Pelodiscus sinensis: one gene and its partners. The protein of the gene in region 3 interacts with the protein of the main gene of each other region in a pairwise test. Links are inferred from orthologs where the notes say so. Each region holds a gene or a part of one and is shown on either strand. Other genes may lie near its edges.

Region 1 (7,122 bases), on a different chromosome or scaffold from region 3:
TTAGCTGAGATCTGACCAAATGGGCACCACCACCCTGGCATTTTTTAATAGAGGTCTTCACAATTTGCTCCCAATTTTTTCTCCTAAAGATTTGGGTGCAACGTTTCTTGGTTTGGTCCCAGTTCTGCAAGGCCTCCTGTAGTTCAGTGAGTCCCAGGGTGCTAATGCAGCTCACCTATACATACTTCAGCTAGCTTTAATCCAAGCAGCAGGGGCATGGGCTATATGAGGCTGCCTAGAACCCAGATCAATTACTTGAGGTGGTCAGCCTGTGGTACTGCGACTTCACGGCGCCAAATCCACGTGCTAAAAGCAGATTAAAAGTAGCTCTGGTACATCAACATAAGCTGCAGTCGTGTCCTGGAATTGCAGCACAGATATACTGTAAGTATCACATGTGTGTGTCTTCTGGACCATTGTACTTGGGCAGTGGTTTTCTACCTTCTCCAAACTGATCTGACCCCATTCCATCAACTTACAGCAGTAGAAGTGTTTCAGGACCTTCCTCCTAGCTATAAAGAAAGAGGAGGTTTGCAACCTCCCCCTGGAACCTGATCGCAACCCCCCAGGAAAACAGGGAGCCCATTTAATTAGCACTGAAAGCGGTTGTGCAGAGAGATTAAATCTCTAGCAATGCCTTTGCAGCGCTAACAAGACACAATGGTTTTGAAGATGCTTCAGTTCCATTTACTCTCTCAGCTGTAGCAACCACACAGGGTCCCCTTTACAGAGGGCTACCCTCAGCAATGGGTAGTTTTGCTCCAATTCACACCAGCACAATTCACCCCGTCGTGACATCCATGCAGCCTTCCTCGCCAGGGCTTCACTGCTACAGCCCAAAATGGGAAGTTCAGATTCCTAAACAAGTTGCATAGTGGGATCAAAGCCCAAGGAAACCACACACGCATCCTGAATGCACAGGCCTTCTAGGTTTTTTAAAAAAAGTGCATATGGGCTCATGTTCAGTTGTGGAAGTGACTCACGAGTTAGTAAACCTCAGAAGCCGCAGCCTCATGTAAACACCCCTATGCATTACTCACTACAGCCAAAAGCTATTCAAGGATTCTCTCGCTCAGCCCTAATGTTTTGGTTTGTTTTTAAAAGTTAAATTCATGGTCACTTGGGTACCTTCCAAGCCAGGATGCTTCTCAGAGGTGATACATCCTTTGAGCATCTGTCTCTGAAAATCTGGCCATGCAGAGCTTTGGACTCACAACATACTTCCCTCTGCCCCACAGAGAAACCCCTCTCCAGCAGCTGCATGGGGCAGGACTCACCCCACTGTGCTAATTCAGGGTCCCATCTCCCCATTTTGAGCCAGTAGCGAGGTTTTTGGCAGAGCTGTGTTACCCTGCAGGAAAAGAGAGCCAGGAAGTAGGCTAGAAACACAAATCCTTTTGTAGATGGTCCTACCCAGCATCCAGGAAGCTGCATGAATAGATTTGCAGCTTCTCTGGGCTAAACCCCTTCCAGTTTTTGCAGCAGCTCTGATAGGCAACCTCAGTGCAGCATTATGGGGCACTGGGAAACTGCGGATATCTGTGCAGGGATGTCATAGGTCTCTTCCCTGTCTAGGCCAGGTCTACACAATAGCCATGCCACTGTAGTGCCGTGGCGTAGATGGAAGATTTTTGTGGCATCATCTTAATTAATCCACAATAGCTAGGTGGAGGGATGAGTCCTTCTGTCATTGTCCACCTCCACACCCGGGGTTAGGTTCACCTAACCACACACAGTGCTCAGGGCATGAAGTTTTTCACAGCCCCCCAGGGACACAGGTCGACCTAAGCTTTAGGTGTAGACCAGGCCTCTGGCTTACGAAGAGAAGCAGTCAGTGGTGCAGGAGGAGCTAGTCAGGTCACATGGCTGTCTTGCTGTGCCCTGAACCCCGCGGGCAGGAAGCGAAAGCACAGCAGACACACGCAGCTGGCTGGCTGACACCTGAGGAAGGGACCTGATACTCCGGCTGTTCTTTCGGACGCACAAGCCTCCGGCGTGTCTCCACACCCTAGCCCAGTTTCACAGCACCATTCCAAGCAACCAGCCCTGCCGATCCAAGGCCCAGTCACCACCTCCCAGATGAACCACACACACAAAAAGGGAGACCCAGTGGAGACCCATCTCCTGCGTACATCTCAGTCTCATCGTGTGCAAGAAGGCAGAGCAGCCGCGCAGGGACACCATCAAAGCAGGGTGGTGCCAGCAGCAAGGGAATAGCATAAATAAAAACCTGTTTGATTGAGGAATAGAGGAGGGCTGGAGGGGGAAGGACCGGACAGGATGTGCATGCAACTCCATCCCTATTAACTTTAGGAACATTCCAATGCTGTACGAGAGCAGCCCAATCCTTTTAAATGAGCACAATAAAAGGAAGTGAGAAGGGGGAGGGAGAGAGAGGTCACAGGAAGAGACACCACCAGAAGCCCTGGAGGGTAGAATAAAAGCCACCCATTTGGAGAAGGGCTTGATTCCAGGAGAAAGGGCTGGCCCCCTCCTCAAGAGGAAGGAGCGGGAGTGGAAAGAAACCTGGTAAAGTTTACAGCGGGGGCAGGCCACGGTCTGTTCCCCCCCTCCCCACTTTTGGACTGCCACTGAGGCCAGCCCCAGCCTCCAGAGGGGGCGGAAGCGGAGCTCTTCCTGGGGGGCTATCTGGAGCCCCCAGGAAACCCGGCCTGGCCCCCAGCTGGGAGGCAAGCGTGGGAGATCCCAGGTGCTGGTACTTCCCACCACACACAAGATTGGCAGCGCAGCTCGATCGCTCTCAGCACCCCGGCGCTGCAGAGTGTGCCAGCCCCCTCCTCCCGGGGGGGGGGGGGGGAGAGCCATGCACCCCCCCCTAAAAACCACCCCATCTCCATGGGCACACACCGACCTTAGCATCCACCTCTCTGGTCCCCAATGGGAACAAGCCGGAGGGGCAAATGGAGCCCTCCCCCCGCGCACGCCCCCCCGCAGCGGCTTTACCCCCGTCTGGTCGCGGCTGGAAAGAGACATGGCCTCGGGCCCGGCCCCTTTAAAGGGGCAGGAGAGGGGGCGTCCCAGCGCGCTACCTGCCCGCTGCACAAGGCACAAGGCAGCCCGCCGGCTCCGGCCGCTATTGGCAGAGCCGCAGCGCACAAGACACGGCGAAGGGGCAGGAAAGCGCTGTCGCGCGATTTGAAAATGAAACCGGCTCGGAGTGTGCGTATTTGCAAAGCTCGCAAATGCTGGAAGGGGGGGGGGGGGATCAGGAGCACCGAGAGCTCAGCCAAAGCCACCCACCCTCCCCCGAGCCCTGCAGCGGCCACACTCCGCCAGCCGCCCGGAGCCGATTGCAAGCTAGTGTCCCCCCCCCCAGCCACTGCTGCTCCACCCCAGCGCCCAGGTGGGGTGGTCTCCGGAGGGGCTTCCATCCATCAGCTCGGAGACCTGCTGAGGAAAGGCCCCCCGCTCCCAAAGCAGGTGCTTTAAGGATAAAAATAAAGCAGGGTGGAGAGGCAGCATTGCAGTTTCTGCCCCCCCCTCCAGCCCCGTGCAAGCCCCCCCCCCCCACCTGGCATACTGCAATGCACGATGCGAAGCAAAGCAAAAGGGCACATCGATTCCGCATGCCTGGCTTGTTTTCCTCTGCAAATTCTTAAAAACAAACAAGCAGGCTTCAGAATTACTTTTTTTTTTTTGCAATTGGAAAATGATTTTTTAGCCCCCCCCCCAAGCTGCACATTCGACTAAAAAATGGTAAAAAAAACGAAAAGAAACATCAACTCCCCCCCCCCACACCTCCTCCACCCAAATCAAAACGAAAAAAAAAAAAAAAAAAAAAAAGGCCAGACACTCACAATTGCTCTCGGTCTCGGCTCTGTGTGGTGTTGTGTTTTTTTTTCCTTGTGAGTCTGTGTTGTGATCAAATTAAACCCCAACCCCCCTTCTGGTTGCTGCTGATTGCAAATGCGGATCTGAAACAAGAAGGCAGGGACTCACTCACATACATATACAGACCAGCCAGGGCTCTCTTATTTATATAAATAAAAAAAATTGTTCCAAGAGGAAGGAAGCTGGGTCAAAATCATTTGCACGGGGGAGGGGGGGAGGGGGAAATAGGAAGGGGACCAAAAACAAAAAAAACCTCCAAGCCTTACAGGAGGGACTATCCAGCTACTAAAAATAGCAAAATCACACTCTAAATTAAATAAGGGCAGGCTGGCTAAGCTTAGGGGAGTGTTAAGCCCTTCTAGTTGAGGAAGGGTGGAGCTCAGCAGACGCTACGTCATCACCAGTGGGTGGGGAACATGCAAAGAAGGGGAGGGGAAGGGTGATTTAAAAGTGCTGCTTGGTTAAAGCCAATGTTGGAAGGTGGGTGGAAAATGGCTAAGAAAGAACCATCACTAGCAAAAACCAGCAGGAGCAGCCAGGACCACTGTCTCCTTCCCCCTTTTAACAAAACAAATCTGGTAAGATGAAGGAGAGGGGAAGAGAATTGTTTTTCAGAGTTGTCATTTAGACACATAAATATTTAAAGAGGGTAAAAGAAAGCCCCTCAATTGTTCTTTGGTTTAAAGGAGAAATGATTTCTGTATGGTTCCTGTGGGATAGGTAGCAGGCAAAGGGCTGAGATATGAAGCTATTTATTATTTTTGAGAGCGATGCTTGCAGGCAGCTTTAGACCCTCAATTTTTTACAAAAATCCCCCTTTTTACATGCATGAAGTCATTTTGATTGTGAGCAAGGGTGGGACCTGTTTTTGGGACCTGCTTGTGCTGTTCTATGACTATGTAAGTCCTGGTTTACACCAGTGGTGGGTGAATGAAAGATCAGGACACTGTACTGTAATGTAGGGAACTTTTCCACAGCCTGGGCTGAATATCAATAGATTGTCTTGTCACCTCCCCTCCTATTTGTGATTGTTCTAGCCCACCTCTGACCCATGTTCTCCATTGCATAGTATCTGTGTAGTAGCTATGGTAATTGCTTACATGGAAAAGTGACATTAGGAATGTATTATTTAATGTATCTTTAGATTATTTTAACATGATTTAGCTGCTGGTAATCAGGAAAAACGAGCCCCACATGGTCAGCTACAAACCACCAGCCCCCATTTTTTTTAACCTAAGTTATTCTAAGATCAAAGTCTATTAAAAGTGAAAGGATTTTTAAACTCCAATTCACTTGTCCCCCATTATGGCCTTTTGTGTATGTTTTACATTTCTCCCCACCTGGATGAGGAAATGAACGTTTCTCTTTTGCTGAGGATCATTTTCCCATCCAAGTTCTTCCTCTGACTTTGGGCTTCAAACTCTGCAGTTAAAAGTAGTTTCATTGTCATTTTCTTCTGAAACTGAAGACTCATCCAGGGAGCCAAAGTTTTAAAATCTGGGTGCCTAAAGTTAGATTCCTAACTTAAGATTTAGGAACCTAAATCAAAGTAGCTGGTTTTTCAGACCTGCGGAGTAGCTGCAGCTTTTGCAAGCTCTTGGTCTGCAGTAAGCTCAGCATGGCCACAAAGATTCACCAATGCCAATTTTATGCAGGATCAAAGCTATGGCTCTAGATGAGGGCTGAGATTTTCAGTATCTTTGAAAATCAGGCCATTTTATAGGAGGGATAAGATTTTTGCCCAGTGCTTAGCACAGTGGAACATTGGTCCATATCTTCAGCTCCTACGAATGAATGCAATACAAAATATAATAGTATTTTGAAAAGTACATAAACCCTTTAGGAACATAGAACACTGAGAAGAAACCTAAAGGAGTTAGGTACTGAACTCTCATTATTCAGTGGGAGTTGAGTGCCTAACTTTCTGACTTGTTTGACAATTCCCATCACAAATCCCAGTCAGTAAAGTTTCTTTTTCATTAGTCCCTTTTTGAAAAAGTGGTTGCAAATTCTCCTGTGAGTTCTTAATTTAAGCACACATTGTTATTCCTGGCAGCTGCAAAGTTTGAAACAGACTAAAAATGAAAGGGAAACTGACCAGTCTGTTTTTAATGTATAGAAAAATACACAAATGGCATAAATGGAAAAAAAAGTAAAAATTCTTAGACTAGTTTTATAGTGGGTAATGCCACTGAATTCAGTGAAGTAATTCCTCATTAACGCTGGTGTGAGAGAAAAACACCATGATCGGGGCTTGATTCATCTCAGTTGACAGCAGTGCAAGTGAGGTGAGATGCAAACCAACCATGCTGATGTGTTTTTGTTTTAAACCTACTTTTTTACAATATAAAGTTTTAGTAACACAGGTAGATGCATATTATTTTTTTGTTTTAAATAAAAGTTAACAGTAAATAATAAAATCACAGGTCTAAATCTTCATTGCCTTGTGTTATTTCCACCTGTGCCAACTTGGTGACCTCCTTAGGCCTCTTCCAGCTCTATGATTCTAAGTGATTTTAAAATGCTGGCATTTTGGCTGGACAGTGATTGACACCCACATTGCCTAAACAAAATGACCCCAGCAAGGTGTAAGACAATGGAGAATAAACTCTGTCACATTTCATGGAGTTTTCCTTTCATATGTCTAGTTCCTTTGCTGAGAGATTTTGCCCTATATTTCAAGGCTGCCTTCAAAATTTGGTTCCTTATTAGAATCATAGAATCCCAGGGTTGGAAGAGACCTCAGGAGGTCGAGTCCAGCCCCTTCTCCTGCCCAAAGCAGGACCAACCCCAACTCAATCATCCCAGCCAGGGCTTTGACAAGCCGGGTCTTAAAAACCTCTAAGGATGGAGATTCCACCCCCTCCCTAGGGAACCCATTCCAGTGCTTCCCCACCCTAATAGGGAAATAGGTTTTCCTAATATCCAACCTAGACCTCCCCCACTGCAACGTGAGACCATTGCTCCTTGTTCTGTCATCCGTCACTACTGAGAACAGCCTCTTTCCGTTCTCTTTGGAACCTCCTTTCAGGTAGCTGAAGGCTGCTATCAAATCCCTCTTCACTCTTCTCTTCTGCAGACTAAATAAGCCCTCAGCCTCTCTTCATGGGTCATATGCTCCAGCCCCCTAATCATTTTGGTCACCCCCCACTGGACCCTCTCCAATGCGTCCACATCCTTTCTATATTGGGGGGGCCTATCTATACTAGACGCAATACTCCAGATGTGGCTTCACCAGTGCTGAATAAAGGGGAATAATCACTTCTCTAG
Region 2 (7,029 bases), on a different chromosome or scaffold from region 3:
GACAAGTCTAGAACAAGACAGGGCAACAGCTTTCAACTTTTCTTCATTTACAGTCCCCTAAAAACCCTGGAGATGCAGGCCTCTTTGGAAAGCTTAGACAGTCTGCAGATCCCCAGGTTGAAAACCCCCAAGGAAGGGTGTGAATTTAAAAGCGCAGTACCTATTCCTATGTGAACACTTTTATTCACTTGGGAACATGCAAACACGGAAGTTATTTGGGAACACTTGTTCCCAACTAGTTGCACACACAAACAATTTTAAATCTCCTGGGGAAGGAATGTCTGTTTCATTGTGTATTTGTACAGCACCTAGGAGAAGCCCTGCACACATGGCAGAATTTGATTTTTTTTAAAACAGTTATGATACTAATATTGATCCCCCCCGACACACACACAATTTATCCATTTAAATTTCCACAGTTGCAGGAAATTATCAGAAGTCGGACATTTATTTACCAACAGTAGATGCTGAGATTCAAAAAGTTATAAGTTTATAACAGTTAAAACACAACCTGTTAACATCACATTTCAAAATATGCAAAGTAAACGACCTTAAATCAAATAAGTTGTCAAGCTAATTTTGCTTACTTTGAATGTAAATTTTGACTATCATGCATGGAAAAATCTTTTCAGCATTTGCAAGTAAAATTGACATCTCAAAAAAAATCAATTCCTTCCCAGCCTAGTAATGAATAGGGCTGTAGGAGCTACTGCAACACAAATAAGGGAATGTCACAATGGAGAAAGGTGTTTTGCATTTCATGACATTTCCGCCACAATTTACTCCACCACTAACAAAGCAACCTACAAGCACAGCCCGCAAAAAGCCAATGTGGGAGAAAGACACATGCACAGCCTGTCCCCCGAGGTCAATGAGAGACGCCATTACGTTGATTTACTAACCTGGAGGAAAAGATACTTTGGGTGGGCATATGTACATATAATAAGCAGGAGGAGGGGATCACTCATTCCCTAGTGAGGGGTGTCACCACTTACCCCTGAGCAGGCAAGATGGACATGCAGCAGTGGCGGCAGGGTATAGATGGGGGACGGGGAGAGTGGAGTCACAGAGAGCCCAAGTCATGGCTGTGGCCAGCATGTGCCCAGGGAATCTGTTTTTTAATCTCTTGGCTGCCACCAACTACATTCTCTCATTGCATTTCTGCGCAACAAACAGCAGCTGCACCCAGCACCACCCCTGTGCTGCTCATGGCCTTTGGTGAGGGACAAGTCAGTGCCTTACCTGCTGGTAGGTGTTGGTGGCAATAATGGGCCGGATCACTGGGACTGGGGGCACCGCGGGCACAGCTGGCACTGCCAGAGCTACTGGAACAGCCTCAACCACTGGAGCCCCAGGAGGGAGGGAAACAGGGGCCCCCAGCACCTCCTGCTCAAACCTGTACAGTGTGAGAAATGGAAGCGTGTTGAAGTTTCCCCACCATCATCTCAGGGCCCCGAGACCCCACGTCTCCCTCCTGATGCAAGGTCCATTCCTTCTTCAATTCAGGATCTTTTACTGCTTTGCCCTGGTATCTGCCCACCTCCAGCCCTCTTCCACCCAGCTCTCCATTCCCTCCCGGAAAAGGCTCCCCATCACCCTTCCAAACACCCCCAAGGACTCCTATGGCTCCTATACTAGGCCTGGGCAAAATTCAGCCAATGAGGAGCTCCAGGCAGGCTCCCCTGCTTGCCCCTGCATGCCACTCAGAAAAATGGCTGCTGAGTCCTGTTTTTTTTTAAAAACTGGAGGGGATGGAGGAAAGCTTCAGGAGCTATTTGAATAACAGGCAGCCAAGAAGAACCCCCTCCCCCCACCCTTCTTGGCTCAGTTAGCCACAAAAGCACATGGCTGGGCAGGCAGGCAGGTTTGGCTGCTGGCTGGTAAGTCTCCTGGCCAGAACCTGCCTCTGGCACTCCAGCTCCCATCTTCCCCAATCCTCTGCCCCACCCAGTCAACATACCCAAATCCTCTGCCTCCCTTTTGCATCCATACCCCCTCCCAGATCTGGCACCTCAGTCTCCTGACCCAGATCACAATCCCGTCCTAACATAGGTCACTTCCCAAACTCTAGTCCCCTGACCTAGGTCACAATGACTGCCTTTACCCAATCTCCCTCCCAGCCTCCATTCTCCCTTCTGCACCCCAATCCCTGCTCCACCCAGCCTCCATCCCAGCCCCTGCACCTCCTCCATTAATATCATGGAAGAGTACAGCCCATGACCACTTTCCAAAATCTTGGAGTGCCCCCCCTCCCCATACAAAATATTGCCTACCCCATCCTACACTCTTGCACCCACTGAAAGATTTCCATCCTTTTGACCTTCAGTCTCCCTCCAGAACACTCCACTGCTCAAATATCTACTGACCTATAACACCACAGTCCCTTTCTCCTTCTCCCTCCAGAATTCTCTGTTCTGGGCTATGCACCAGCTTTAATTCCTCATCTGAACCGGCCCATTCCCATCAGCTCCTCCACAACCTTTTCATCCTCCTTCCACCTGCTCCACGTCACTCCCCCCCCCCCAGGGGTCTCAGTCTTTTGCCCTAGCTTGGTTGAGCCACCCCCTAGGTCTCCCCTTGCGTCTCTCCCCACCCATGGGCTCCCTCCTCCCTTTTAGCCGGGGATCTCCACGGATCCTCCCGTCCATGCTCCAGCTCCCCCCTCTCCCCCCACCTGCTCTTGATCCCTCCCAGCCCCTGGAGCCTGCAGGCTCCTCTTTTCCTGAAACCAGGGACCAGATCCCCGCCCTCAGACTCCCCCTAAACTCCCCCCCCCCCCCCGCGCTCACAGCGCCATCTCCGCCTCCATCTCTTTCAGTCGCTCCTCCCCGCTCTTGGCGCCCCCCGCAGCCGCGGCTCCCCCGGCGGGGCCGGGTGCCGGGGCGGGTGCCGGGGCCGGAGCCCCCCCGGCGGGGGGCGGGGCAGGCGGAGCCGCCATGGCGGGGTCTGGACTCAGCCTCCGCCGCTCCGCGCTGCGGCCCGACGCACCCGCTTCCGGCGGGCCGGTGATGACGTAAGGAGGCTTCCGGCGCGGAGCCGGAAGTTAAACACCACTGTGGAAGTTGTCTCTCATCATTTCCGGCGCGATCTTATGGCGTAACAGAAGGGCGGGGCGCACGGGAAACCTTCCTAGCGGGAAGGGGGCGTGGCTTGCATGTCTCACGTGGGACGGGGCCGAGAAGGCAGGGCTCCCATTGGCCTTTGCCCGGGGCACGTGATTCTAATTCATTTTCCGTCTCCTACGCCGAGTAGAGCGGCGAGTCCCGCAGGACCCCGCCCCTGCTCTGGCCCCGCCCCAAACACTGGCCCCGCCTCTCCCTCCCCATTGCCCAGCCCTCCCACTGCGCCCAAATTGGCCCCGCCCGCCCACGTGGCCCCTCCCCTCCCAGGCTCCGCCCCTGTTGGAGTCTCCCAGGCCAGTGTCGGGAAACACGTGGGCTGTGTCTAGACTGGCAAGTTTTTCCGGAAAATCAGCCGCTTTTCCAGAAAAACTTGCCAGCTGCCTACACTGGCCCTTGGATTTCCGGAAAAGCACTGACGATCTCATGTAAGATTGTCAGTGATCTTATGGAAATACTGTGCTGCTCCCGCTCGGGCAAAAGTCTTTTTCCGAAAGACTTTTGCGCAAAAGGGCCAGTGTAGACAGCACAGTACTGTTTTCCGCAAAAAAGCCCTGATGGCGAAAATGGCGATCGGAGCTTTTTTGCGGAAAAGCGCGTCTAGATTGGCCACAGACGCTTTTCCACAAAAAGTGCTTTTGCGGAAAATCACCCTGCCAATCTAGACGCACTTTTCCGAAAATGCTTTTAACTGAAAACTTTTCCGTTAAAAGCATTTTTGGAAATTCATGCCAGTCTAGACGTAGCCGTGGAGCGGTGGGAGACGGTCCAGAGGAGCAACAGACTGATGCGCAGTCTGGAGAACAGGAGCTAGGAGGCGGGGCTGGAAGAATCCAGAGTGTTTAGTTTGGAAAAGAGACGGCGGAGAGGGGGCGAGAGCGGTGTCCAAGTTTCAGAAAGGGCGTTACAAGGAGAAGAGAGAAATCTTGTTCTCCTTGGCCTCTGAGATCAAGAAGCAATGGGCTTGAATTGCAGCAAAGGAGGTTTAGGTTGCACATCAGGAAAAACTCCCTGGCTGTCAGAGTGGTGAAACACTGGAATAAATTGCTTAGGGTGGTTGTCCAATCTCCATCACTGGAGATATTTAAGAGCAAGTTAGAGAGACACCGGTCAGGGATGATCTGCATCAGTGGTCTCCAACCTTTTTAAACACAAAATCACTTTTTCAATTTAAGTGCAATGTAAGATCTACCTCAAACACAAATACCCTTGCCCACTTCCTTGCCCACCTCTCTGAGGCCTCACCCTCCCTCCGCCCTCGCTCCCTCCACCTTCCTCCTGGAATCTCAATCACTTTCACCAGGTTGGAGTGGGGGGTTGGGGTGCAGACTTTGGTCTTGGGCCACAGGGTTTGGCATGGGGGAGGGGACACCCTGAAAGTAGGGAACTGGGGAAGTTCTGAAGTGGTTTAGGGGCTAGGGCATTTGCCTGGGGAGAGCAGGGTGGTGGATTGAAGTCCCACTTTTGCCCACTCTGGGGGCAGCTGGACAGCAAACAAAGGATGCTAGAGACATAGACCTGGCTCCTGCATTTAGAAACCAGGATAAGGGACCCAAAGAAGGAAGGGTGTTAAGGTGGATTCTGGAGTGGCATAGCAATGTGTGCATTCACCTAGAGTGGTGAATTCAAGTACCACCTACCTACCTGAGGAACTGTTAACACAGATTGCCCCAGTGATGGAGCTGGCACCTGCAGTCCAAATGCAGGATTAGGGACCTGCAAAAGGTAGGGAGGTGGGATAGGTTCTGGTGTGGATTAGGAGATAAGGCATGAGCAGAGTGGTTGCACCCAAGCAGGATGAAGGACCAGCAGAAAGCTCAGAGCAGGAGGGGTGGTTTCTAGAGTGGTCTAGGAGATAGGGCATTCACTTGGGGACAGCGGGGTGGCATCCATAGTTAGAAAGCAGGATGAGATAACCCTAGTAGTTACCTCTCTCCACTCAGAAAACTGACCATTTATTCCTACCCTTTGTTTCCTGTCTTTTAACCAGTTATCAGTCCATGAAAGGACCTTCCCTCTTACGCCATGATAACTTACTTTACTTAAGAGTCTTTGGTGAGGGACTTTGTCAAAGGCTTTCTGGAAATCTAAGTACACTATATCCACTGGATCCAATCTTGTCCACATGTTTGTTGCCCCTCTCAAAGAACTCTAGCAGATTAGTAAGGCATGATTTCCTTTTACAGAAACCATGTTGACTTTCCCCTAACAAATTATATTCATCTTCACTATAGTTTCATCTAATTTGCCTGGTACTGATGTTAGACTTACTCATCTGTAATTGCCAGACGATTCCACCACCTTGTGTCCCCAGGCGAACGCCATATCTCCTAGGCCTCTCCAGAACCCACCCCACCTCTTTACTGGGGCAGTGGTGAGCTGCATACGGGCTGTGGCCTGAGGGCTGCATATGGCCCATTGGGGTTCTAGGTGTGGCCTGCGAGACATTTTGTTTCCCCTTGCCCATGGCCAGAGTTGCCAGATTCCGCTGCTTTCCGCCCACACAAGTGTTTTTGTTACTAAAGTGACGCTCACCTAAACGGCCCGTGGTGCGAGGGGCGCACGGATTGCACCAGCACTGACGGGGGGGGGGGGGGGGGGGAGCCGTGCGCTCGCTCTGCAGCCAGTCCACACGCTGTGACTGCTCCGTCAGCTCACCCGCTAATCCAAGGTGCGCAAGCGCGGACAGCAACTCTACCCTACCCAGGGAGACCGCCTGGGCTCCCACAGTCTTGCAGCTACTGAGCTGAAGGAGGCTGCTAACATGGCCCACTCACTAGCCGAGGTTGCCCATCGCTGGGGCAGTGCTGACTTTGAGGGCCTCAGGCAGATGGGCCGAGGGGCTCAATTTCTGTGAAGGGCTAACAGTGCCAGGAAACAGGCTAGTAGGACCCAAGAGGCTGGCTCCCTTCATTGCAGTCCAGGGGGTGGCTGTGAGCCAGCGGCACAGGGGAGGGGGAAGGAAAGGGGGCACTGAGCTGACATCGGTGGCAACTCCCGTACTAACTGGCACTTTGCAATTTTTTTCTTATAGAAATCTGCCCTGCATATCACTGCGTCTCACCTGAGGGCGCTCGTGTGTTTGTCCCAATTGACTACCCAAGAGCATGTGGAGTCTCCGTCAGCAGGCAAACTGTGCACTCACTCCGTGATATCATGGTGCTAAGGGACGGAAAGGCAAACTGCCTCAATAATACCTACAAAGGCTCCATGTCCCTCTCCCCGGGCGGCTTTGCTGCGAACATGAGTAAATGGCTAGAAGGAGAATGTCGGATTCTAACCAGCCTGGACAGAGACTTCGTGGCTTGTGTGACTCTGGTGATGGCAGGTTAGTTTCTGCTCTTGTGTCCTGGGATCATCTTTCCTCGCTCCTCTGCTAGGTTGTTTTGCACGTCTGCACCTCCCTTGGCATTGAACCAGCCGTGTAGAACGTTCCTTGTCATTTAACAAAACCTGGGATTGTAAGGACCGTGCCACTCGTGTGTTTGGGGTCAGATACTTTTCTGAGGTTCAAATGGCTGTAGGTCTAGTGTTCACCTGCACTTTGAAACACCATCCCCACTTCTCTAACTTTGTATTCCAAGAGCATCGCACCATGAGAAAATAAAGAAGAGGATCAGGGCTTGTCTACACTTAGGCCACACTCCACTAGCCGCACCTGAGATTGATCTTCTGGCGGTTGATTTAGCGGGTCTAGGAAAGACCTGCTAAATCAAACGCTGAGGGCGCCCCTGGTCATGGATGCTGGTACTCCTGGCAGTCAGGAGGGAGCCTTTGCTCTCATCAACCTCCCACTGTGAAGATGGTGCCAAGCTCAGCTTAAGGTATGTCGACTCCAGCTACGTTATTTACATCTCTGGAGCTGCGTCCCTTCAGCCGGACTTCCAGGGCTGGGGCAGAGCTGGCTGTA
Region 3 (7,647 bases):
CAGCAGCTGATTCCAGGAAGCCCCGGGCAGAGCAACTCTGCCTGGGGCTTCCTGTAGTCAGCGCTGGTCAGTTTCAGCAGAAGCTGACTTGGGGACGCCTGGGGCAGAGCAGCTGGGGTGCTGCTGGGTTGCTCCAGTAGCGCCGCTCCTGGGTGCTACTGGACCAACCTAGCAGCACCCCATCTGCTCTGCCCCAGGCGTCCTGATTCAGCCGCTGCTGAAACTGACCAGCAGCGGCTGAATCAGGACCTGGGGCAGAGCAGCTGGGGTGCTGCCGGGTTGGTCCAGTAGTGCCCAGAGCGGGCGCTGCAGGACCAATCGGCAGCGCCCCAGCTGCTCTGCCCCAGAGTCCAAAACAAAAGCCTGGTCTGCTGGGGGGGGGGGGAGCACACTAGCTGCCCCCCCCCCCCAGCAGACCAGAGACACGGGGAGCAGAGCCTCTGAGGCTTTGCTCTGGCAAAGCCTCAGAGGCGAGGGACCCCGCCGCGGCTGCGGCTTCAGTCCGGGAGCCTGTGGTCTGCTGGGGACGGTCCCCAGCAGACCACAGGCTCCCGGACTAAAGCCGCAGCCGTGGGGGGGTCCCGCGCCTCTGAGGCTTTGCCAGAGCAAAGCCTCAGAGGCGCGGGGAACCGCCGCTGCTGCCGCTTCAATCTGGGTGCCTGTGGTCTGCTGGGGACCGTCCCCAGCAGACCACAGGCACCCAGATTGAAGCGGCAGCAGCGGTGGTTCCCCGCGCCTCTGAGGCTTTGCTCTGGCAAGGCCTCAGAAGCGCGGGAACCCGCCCGGTGCCCCTGGTCTGCTGGAGACGGTCTCCAGCAGACCAGGGGCACCGGAGCAGCTTACGAACAGGGCTTTCTCGCCCCGACTTCCGGGGCGAGAAAGCCCCGTTCGTAAGTGCGGATCCGACGTAAGTCGGATCCGCGTAAGTCGGGGACTGCCTGTATTGGATAGGTCCAACATAGGTTTTTTCCCTTTCCTCTGAAGCAGTGGTTTTCAAACTTTTTCTTATGACCCAACTGAAGAAAATTGTTGATGCCTGCAACCCAACATAATTTGACCAGAGTGTAAAAGGGGGCTCCGGCTTGCGGGGGGGAGGGTATCAGAGCTGGAGTAAGAGGGGCTTACCTTAAGCAGCTCCTGACCAGTGATGCAGCAGGGGTGCTAAGGCAGCTTCCTGCCTCTCTTGCCACCACAGACCATGCTGCGCCCCAGAAGCAACCAGCAGCAGGTTCCCAGCCAATGGGAGTGCGGAGCTAGTGCTCAGGTCAGGGGCAGTGCACAGAACATTGTGTGCTCTCCCCCCACCACCTAGGAGCTGGGCCTGCAGCTGGCTGCTTCTGAGGTACAGGTAGCTGCCATAGCACCCTCACTGATCACTTGATCCCCCTGCAGCAACCAGACCCAGTGCCTGACATTCTACGATCCAGTACTGGGTCATGACCCATAGTTTGAAAACCACTGCTCTGAAGCATCAAGGGGGGATTACTGTCAGAGGTGGGATGATCAGCCAGATGGAACAATGACCTGTTCCTATGTAACAACTTCAGATACCGAAATATAAAGAAGACTAATTCTGTGGTTTACACTGGTCTCTAATTGAGAATTTATCAAATAGCATACAAAATATGGGGCAAATTCTGGCCTCACCCAATAAACAAACAACAACAACAACAAAACAATACCTTTCATGTAGACAAGGCCTAAGGGCTAGGCCACACTGGAAAGTTATACCATTAAAAGCTAAGGTGATAATTAAAACTAAAAAATTTATTCCAGTACAAATCCCTGTATGGACACTTATCTCAGTGCAAGGATATGTCTACACTACACCAGCACACCTGTGCTTTAGTAGTGTAGATAATCCTACATGAATAGATGCTTTTTCCTGTTGGTGTAGTTAATGCCTCTCTCTAGGAGGTGGGAACTACATTGATGAAGAATTCAAGCTGCATCTACAGTGACCTGCCCACATTGCATTGGGCATGACATTTTTCACTGTCCTGAGCTAGGTAGCTAGACTGATTGAATTTTTAAGAGTAGAAGGCCTACTGGTACTTTGTTTTCAATTTAGCTTATGTTACTTCGGAAAGGCTTTCAGATAAACCAGAAAAAGCTACTCTTAAACTGGAATAAGAGTGTCCACACAAGGAGTTGTGCTGGTATAATTATACTGATTTAATTGTATTGGTAAAATTATACCAGTATAACCGGTAAAACTGTCCTGTGTCAGTTTTGAGGACTGTACTTGATTTGGTGACTCTGTCTCTCTTCTGATTGGTTTTGTGAGAAACAATCCCATTCCAGGCACGTGCCATTTTCCTGGCGCAACCAAATCCTTACATTGTTTTAAGTTATGATAAGAGGAAGCTGGTATATTGAATTTGGTGGTTCTAGCTCAGGTGTGGACAAGATATGGCCCATGCACCAGATCAAGCCTGCAGCCTACCCTACCGGGACCTTCAGGCACGTTCCCTGCTTGTCACAGACCCAAGCTCAAAGTCACTAGCTGTTCCCTACATGTGCCTCTCTGCACTACGCAACTGGGGGAGGAGAGGAGGAGGAAGACTTTGCATGCTGCCTTCCCAGCCCAATCATAGCAGCTCCTAGAATCAGCATCTGGCACCCCACCCCTTCCGGCACCCCATCCCTTCCCGCACCCAGGGCCAGCCAGAGCCATTTTGGCGCCCTGGGCCCGGGCGCGCGGCACTGCCCCCAGGAGCATGGCGTATGTGCAGGCCCGCCCCCGGGGCGTACGGCTGCATGCACGCAGCCCGGCGTCTGCCCCTGGGGCGCATGCGCTGCCCAGCCCGGCCCAGCCACTGCTGCTGGCACGCAGCCCAGGGCGGGCCGCGCCTGGCCATGCAGGGCCCCACAGCTGTGGGGGAAAGGGTGCTACTGGCTGGCGCCAGGGGGATGGGGGGCTGGTGCGCTGTGGGACGCCGCGTGCCCCTTACAGCTGCCATCAGGCGCCCCCATCAGTTGGCACCCCGGGCAGCTGCCTGGCTTGCTCACCCCCTAGTCCGGCCCCGCCTACACCCTCACTCCCTGCCCCAGGTCACTGCAAAAACCCTCTGCACTCCCATTCCCCAGGTCACAGCTCCCCCTCCAACCCTGCACTCTCTCTTGCACACCAATCTCCCCCTCCAACCCTCTGCACTCCCATTCCCCAGGTCACCACCCAAATCCTCAGCACCTACTTTCCCCGTTTCAGGTCACAACTCCCTCCCAGACCCTCTGTCTCTTCCTAACCCCTCCCTCTCCAAGCCAGAATCCTCTCCTGCACTCATGCTCTCTCCAACACTGAATCCCAACCCCCTACCCCAGGTCACAACCCCCTCCTTCACCCAAACTTTCTCTCAGATCCCACACCCTCTCCTGCACCCTAATACCCTACCCCATGCTCCCTTCTGCACTCAGTCTCCATCCCAGACCCCACTCCCTTCATTGAAATGCAGCCCATGGCCACTTACCAAAATCTTGGAGTGCTCCCCCTCAGAAAGTATTGCCTACTCCTGTCCTAGCTCTTGGGCTGCGTCTAGATCGGCATGATTTTCAGAAATGCTTTTAACGGAAAAGTTTTCCGTTAAAGGCATTTTCGGAACAGAGCATCTAGATTGGCACGGACGCTTTTCCGCAAAAGCACTTTTTGCGGAAAAGCATCCATGCCAATCTAGATGCACTTTTCCGCAAAAAAGCCCCGAAAACAAATCTGAGCTGTCTACACTGGCCCTTTTGCGCAAAAGCTTTGCGCAAAAGGACTTTTGCCTGAACGGGAGCAGCATAGTATTTCCACAAGAAGCACTGATTTCAGACAGTAGGAAGTCAGTGCTTTTGCGGAAATTCAAGCGGCCAGTGTAGACAGCTGGCAAATTTTTCTGGAAAAGCGGCTGATTTTCCGGAAAAGCTGGCCAGTCTAGACACAGCCCTCCTGTTTAGGAGGAGATCTTGAAACCACCTCTCTAAAATATAGAGTAGATTAAGTTGAGAATTTGCCCTCACCTGCAGCGCTGGCTGCGTTCACTTTGTCTCCACAAGGATGTAGCAGATAGGGGGAGATTTGCAAGCCAGGCAGTGAAAAGGATTAGAGCCCCAGAAAGCTCATGTGAGAAGAGAGAGCGGCCAGCTTGTGGCTGCATAGCGCTGCCAGCAGGCATGCCAACACTCCACATGCCAGTGAATAAGCGGGCACGCACTGGGGGCGCCTGTTTCTCATACCTAGAGCCCGACGTGCAGCAGACAAGCCAGGAGGTGAAAAGGCGTCGCGTTTAATGCTCCCCTCACCACCGGGCAGCTAAGGCAGGCGCGGATCCGCTCGAGTGAGCGGGGGCAGGGAGCACCAAGCACAGCAGGGCGCGCGTGCCCGGGCTGGGGACGCAAGAGCCCCTCCCCTTCCCACCCGCTCTCCTTCTCCGGGCAGGCAGGCTCCAAGTACCCACCACCCCGCGCGTGGCCCCGCCCTCCCTGATTCCCGAAGGTTGCCGAGGCTCCGCCCCTCCCTCATTCCCGAAGGTTGCCGAGGCCCCGCCCCTCCCTCATTCCCGAAGGTTGCCGAGCGGGGTCGCGCTGCCTCGGCTCCCTAGCTGGCGTGTCCGGAGATAGCCGAGGAGCTCCGGCCCCTCCCCCCCCCCCGTCCCCGGCTGCCGCCGCCACCGCCTCCTCCCCTGTGGCCGGCCCGAGTCAGTGCCCAGTAGGTTGGTGGAGCGGCCGCTGCGGGACGGACTCTGCTGCTCCCGCGACGCGCTCTCTCGTCCCGCCGGCCCCGGGCCCGCAGCGCCACCGGGCGATCGCGCCAGGCGGGGACCCTCTCGCCCGTGTGCGGCTGCGGCGGCGGCTCCCCCAGGGGACGCGGGGCGGCCGGGGGGTCGGGCTCGGATGGCGGAGGGGACCCAGCCCCAGCAGCAGCAGCAGCAGCAACAGCTCGTCCCCGGCGGCGAAGCCCCCCGGGGCGTGAAGCGGGAGCCGGAGCAGGAGCAGCCCATGCCCGGAGGGGACGGCGCCGAGGCTGGCCACAGCAAGCGGCTGAGGACGGAGGCGGAGGCGGGCGGCGGCGGCGGCATGCAGGTAGCGGGGCCCCGGGCCCAGCGGGCAGGCTGCGCTGGGGGGCCGCGACCGGGGGGCGGTGTAGGCTGGGGGGCGCCCCCCCCCGCGCTGCCTGCGGACACGTAGCCGGGATGTGGGGCGCCGAGACCCTCGCTTCGAGGAGCGGTGGGGTCCGCGGGGCGGGGGGGAGCAGGGGCGCCGGGCCGCGGGGAGCGGCGCGAAAAGGGGAAAGCGGCTGGCCAGGTAGCGACCCAGCGGGAGGGTTGAGAGCAGCTCTGGAGCAGCGGGGCGCTGGCCTACAGGGATGGGGCAGTCTCCTGCGGCCGTAGGCTGAGATCGGAGCGGGATGTGGGATTTATTTGGGGGGGGGGTCAATTCCCCACCCGCAGCTTGGTGGTCCCATTGGTAGCAGAAATGAAGCCCGTGTTCCGAGAGGGGTTTTCGTCCTTCCTTGTCCCAGCGCCGAGCAAATCCACGAAGTTACTGTTTCTAAGGGGAAGACCGTGCTAATTCTGGAGAATGACCCTGAGGATTTCAGCTGTTTGATCAAAAGGACCGTTTTTAAGCTGTTGTATTTGCCAGTACTTTCTTAAATCACGTGGCTTATTTTTTTTTAATTAAAATTCCTTTAAAAACAAATTCTGCAATTTTTTCACTTGGTTGTGTCCCGCCACCCAGTTGACAATTGTAAGGGTCTCCTCAGTAATGGAGAAACTGATGGGGCAATACAAGAGGTATTATGAAACTGACCACATACAAAGTGATTTTAAATGCTCAGTGTAAAACTGAAGTAAAAATAGGTGTTTTTTGCTAATTGATTTAATAGTAATCTGAGGTATTATAATTAGTGAAGGTATACAGTATTCAGACTGTCTTTTACTGTTCTGTTCGCCAATTTATTAAAAAAGCACAATCTTGAAAATAGATCATTCTGCCCCATATTTTGTTTTTTTAAGCACTGACTTTTCCTGTTAAAGGTGTAGTAATGCCTAAAATGACAAAGAATGTTGTAGCATTGTTGGTGTTCAGCATGGGGACTGCCCTTCTTTAACATATTTTCTTTTCCCAGATTACTATGTCTGTTGCACTGACTGGATGCCTATTTCTCTCTTGGGTACCCCAGATTGGTGACAGCTGCTTATTGTGCATTTCCTTTACTGCTTTTTCTTGTTATTTCTTCAGTATTATTCCCCCATTCATTAAAAATGGGAAAAAGCAGAACTCCTATTTTCTATAGTTTACAGCGTGGTAAGAAGCATCATGTGGTTGAAGTATTAAGAGTATGGAGCCAGAGGTGTCTTGGATATCATGAGTGAACAAGGAGGATCTGGTCTGTAACCTTAGAATCTGCTCTCCTATAGATACAGATGGGCATCAGTTTATGAATTCATATGGGCACATGTCATATCAATATACTCTTTTAATTTACTGAGAGTACATTTCTTCTCTTGGCAGTTTTGATCCTATTTGTTTTTCACTGGGCCTTTCATTCCCCCATGGCTGAATATCTCCCTCTGATTGTAGCTTCTGTGTACAGTATCAGAGTCTGTGTAATGGCAGTGCTGCCTTGGGAGATGCTATGGATGGGAGTGGCAAAGGCAAATGGTTCGGCCATCGTGCATATGTTTTACAGATTAATGACACTTAGTCGGATCATGCTCTTGTATGCTTGTAAATAACAACTAGTTTGGAGGTGCAACTGTTAAACGAAAGAGAGGGTATTATGGAGTGTATTTATTTTTCTCTCTGGCTGTATTTTACACAGGGCTCGTCTACACTGGCCCCTTTTCCGGAAGGGGCATGTTAATTTCAGCGATCGCAGTAGGGAAATCCGCGGGGGATTTAAATATCCCCCGCGGCATTTAAATAAAAATGTCCGCCGCTTTTTTCCGGCTTTTAGAAAAGCCGGAAAAGAGCGTCTACACTGGCCCCGATCCTCCGGAAAAAGCGCCCTTTTCCTGAGGCTCTTATTCCTACTTCAAAGTAGGAATAAGATCCTCCGGAAAAGGGCGCTTTTTCCGGAGGATCGGGGCCAGTGTAGACGCTATTTTCCGGCTTTTCTAAAAGCCGGAAAAAAGCGGCGGACATTTTTATTTAAATGCCGCGGGGGATATTTAAATCCCCCGCGGATTTCCCTACTGCGATCGCTGAAATTAACATGCCCCTTCCGGAAAAGGGGCCAGTGTAGACGTAGCCACAGTGTTTTTCTGCTAGAGGTAAGCAGTTGGTCTCAGTGCTTCTTTCTGCTGTTTCTTGCACTGAATGTGCTGGAGCTCTTTGAAAACAATGAGATTAATTCATCGTGTGGTTTCTACTTTCACTCCTGCTTGGGTTTGTGGTTCTTAATAGTCTCTGAAGGGAGGGACATTTGTGTCCCATGGAAGTGTTTCCCCCACTATGTTGCATTAGTCTGGCGCTCTCCTGTGTGTGGCCCTTCCTGGTTGTTTTCTCTGCCACATCCCTCCCACTTCCCATGTTCCACCACACATCCCTCTTTCTCACCCCATTATATCAAAAGAAAGTCATATAGCACTTCAAAGACTAACAAGATGGTTTATTAGGTGATGAGCTTTCGTGGGGCAAACCCACCTCTTCAGATCATATCAA

The links.
Region 1: the proteins of RBFOX2 (region 3) and HMGA1 interact in a two-hybrid assay, tested with the Homo sapiens proteins (2 studies listed by BioGRID and IntAct, with this or other methods). The link is inferred for Pelodiscus sinensis from reciprocal best matches to the Homo sapiens genes RBFOX2 and HMGA1.
Region 2: the proteins of RBFOX2 (region 3) and RBM42 interact in a two-hybrid assay, tested with the Homo sapiens proteins (2 studies listed by BioGRID and IntAct). The link is inferred for Pelodiscus sinensis from reciprocal best matches to the Homo sapiens genes RBFOX2 and RBM42.

The regions. Positions count from the first base shown.
Region 1 is NC_134737.1:11,423,617-11,430,738, reverse strand, and holds the start of HMGA1 (high mobility group protein HMG-I/HMG-Y), read right to left. Parts: upstream 3,014-7,122; 5' UTR 2,995-3,013; coding exon 2,873-2,994; intron 1,352-2,872; exon of another isoform or gene 1,278-1,351; intron 1-1,277. UniProt on the Homo sapiens protein: HMG-I/Y bind preferentially to the minor groove of A+T rich regions in double-stranded DNA. It is suggested that these proteins could function in nucleosome phasing and in the 3'-end processing of mRNA transcripts.
Region 2 is NC_134734.1:4,920,429-4,927,457, reverse strand, and holds the start of RBM42 (RNA-binding protein 42), read right to left. Parts: upstream 3,014-7,029; 5' UTR 2,939-3,013; coding exon 2,790-2,938; intron 1,397-2,789; coding exon 1,243-1,396; intron 1-1,242. UniProt on the Homo sapiens protein: Binds (via the RRM domain) to the 3'-untranslated region (UTR) of CDKN1A mRNA.
Region 3 is NC_134711.1:93,540,671-93,548,317, forward strand, and holds the start of RBFOX2 (RNA binding protein fox-1 homolog 2), read left to right. Parts: upstream 1-4,633; 5' UTR 4,634-4,872; coding exon 4,873-5,061; intron 5,062-7,647. UniProt on the Homo sapiens protein: RNA-binding protein that regulates alternative splicing events by binding to 5'-UGCAUGU-3' elements. Prevents binding of U2AF2 to the 3'-splice site.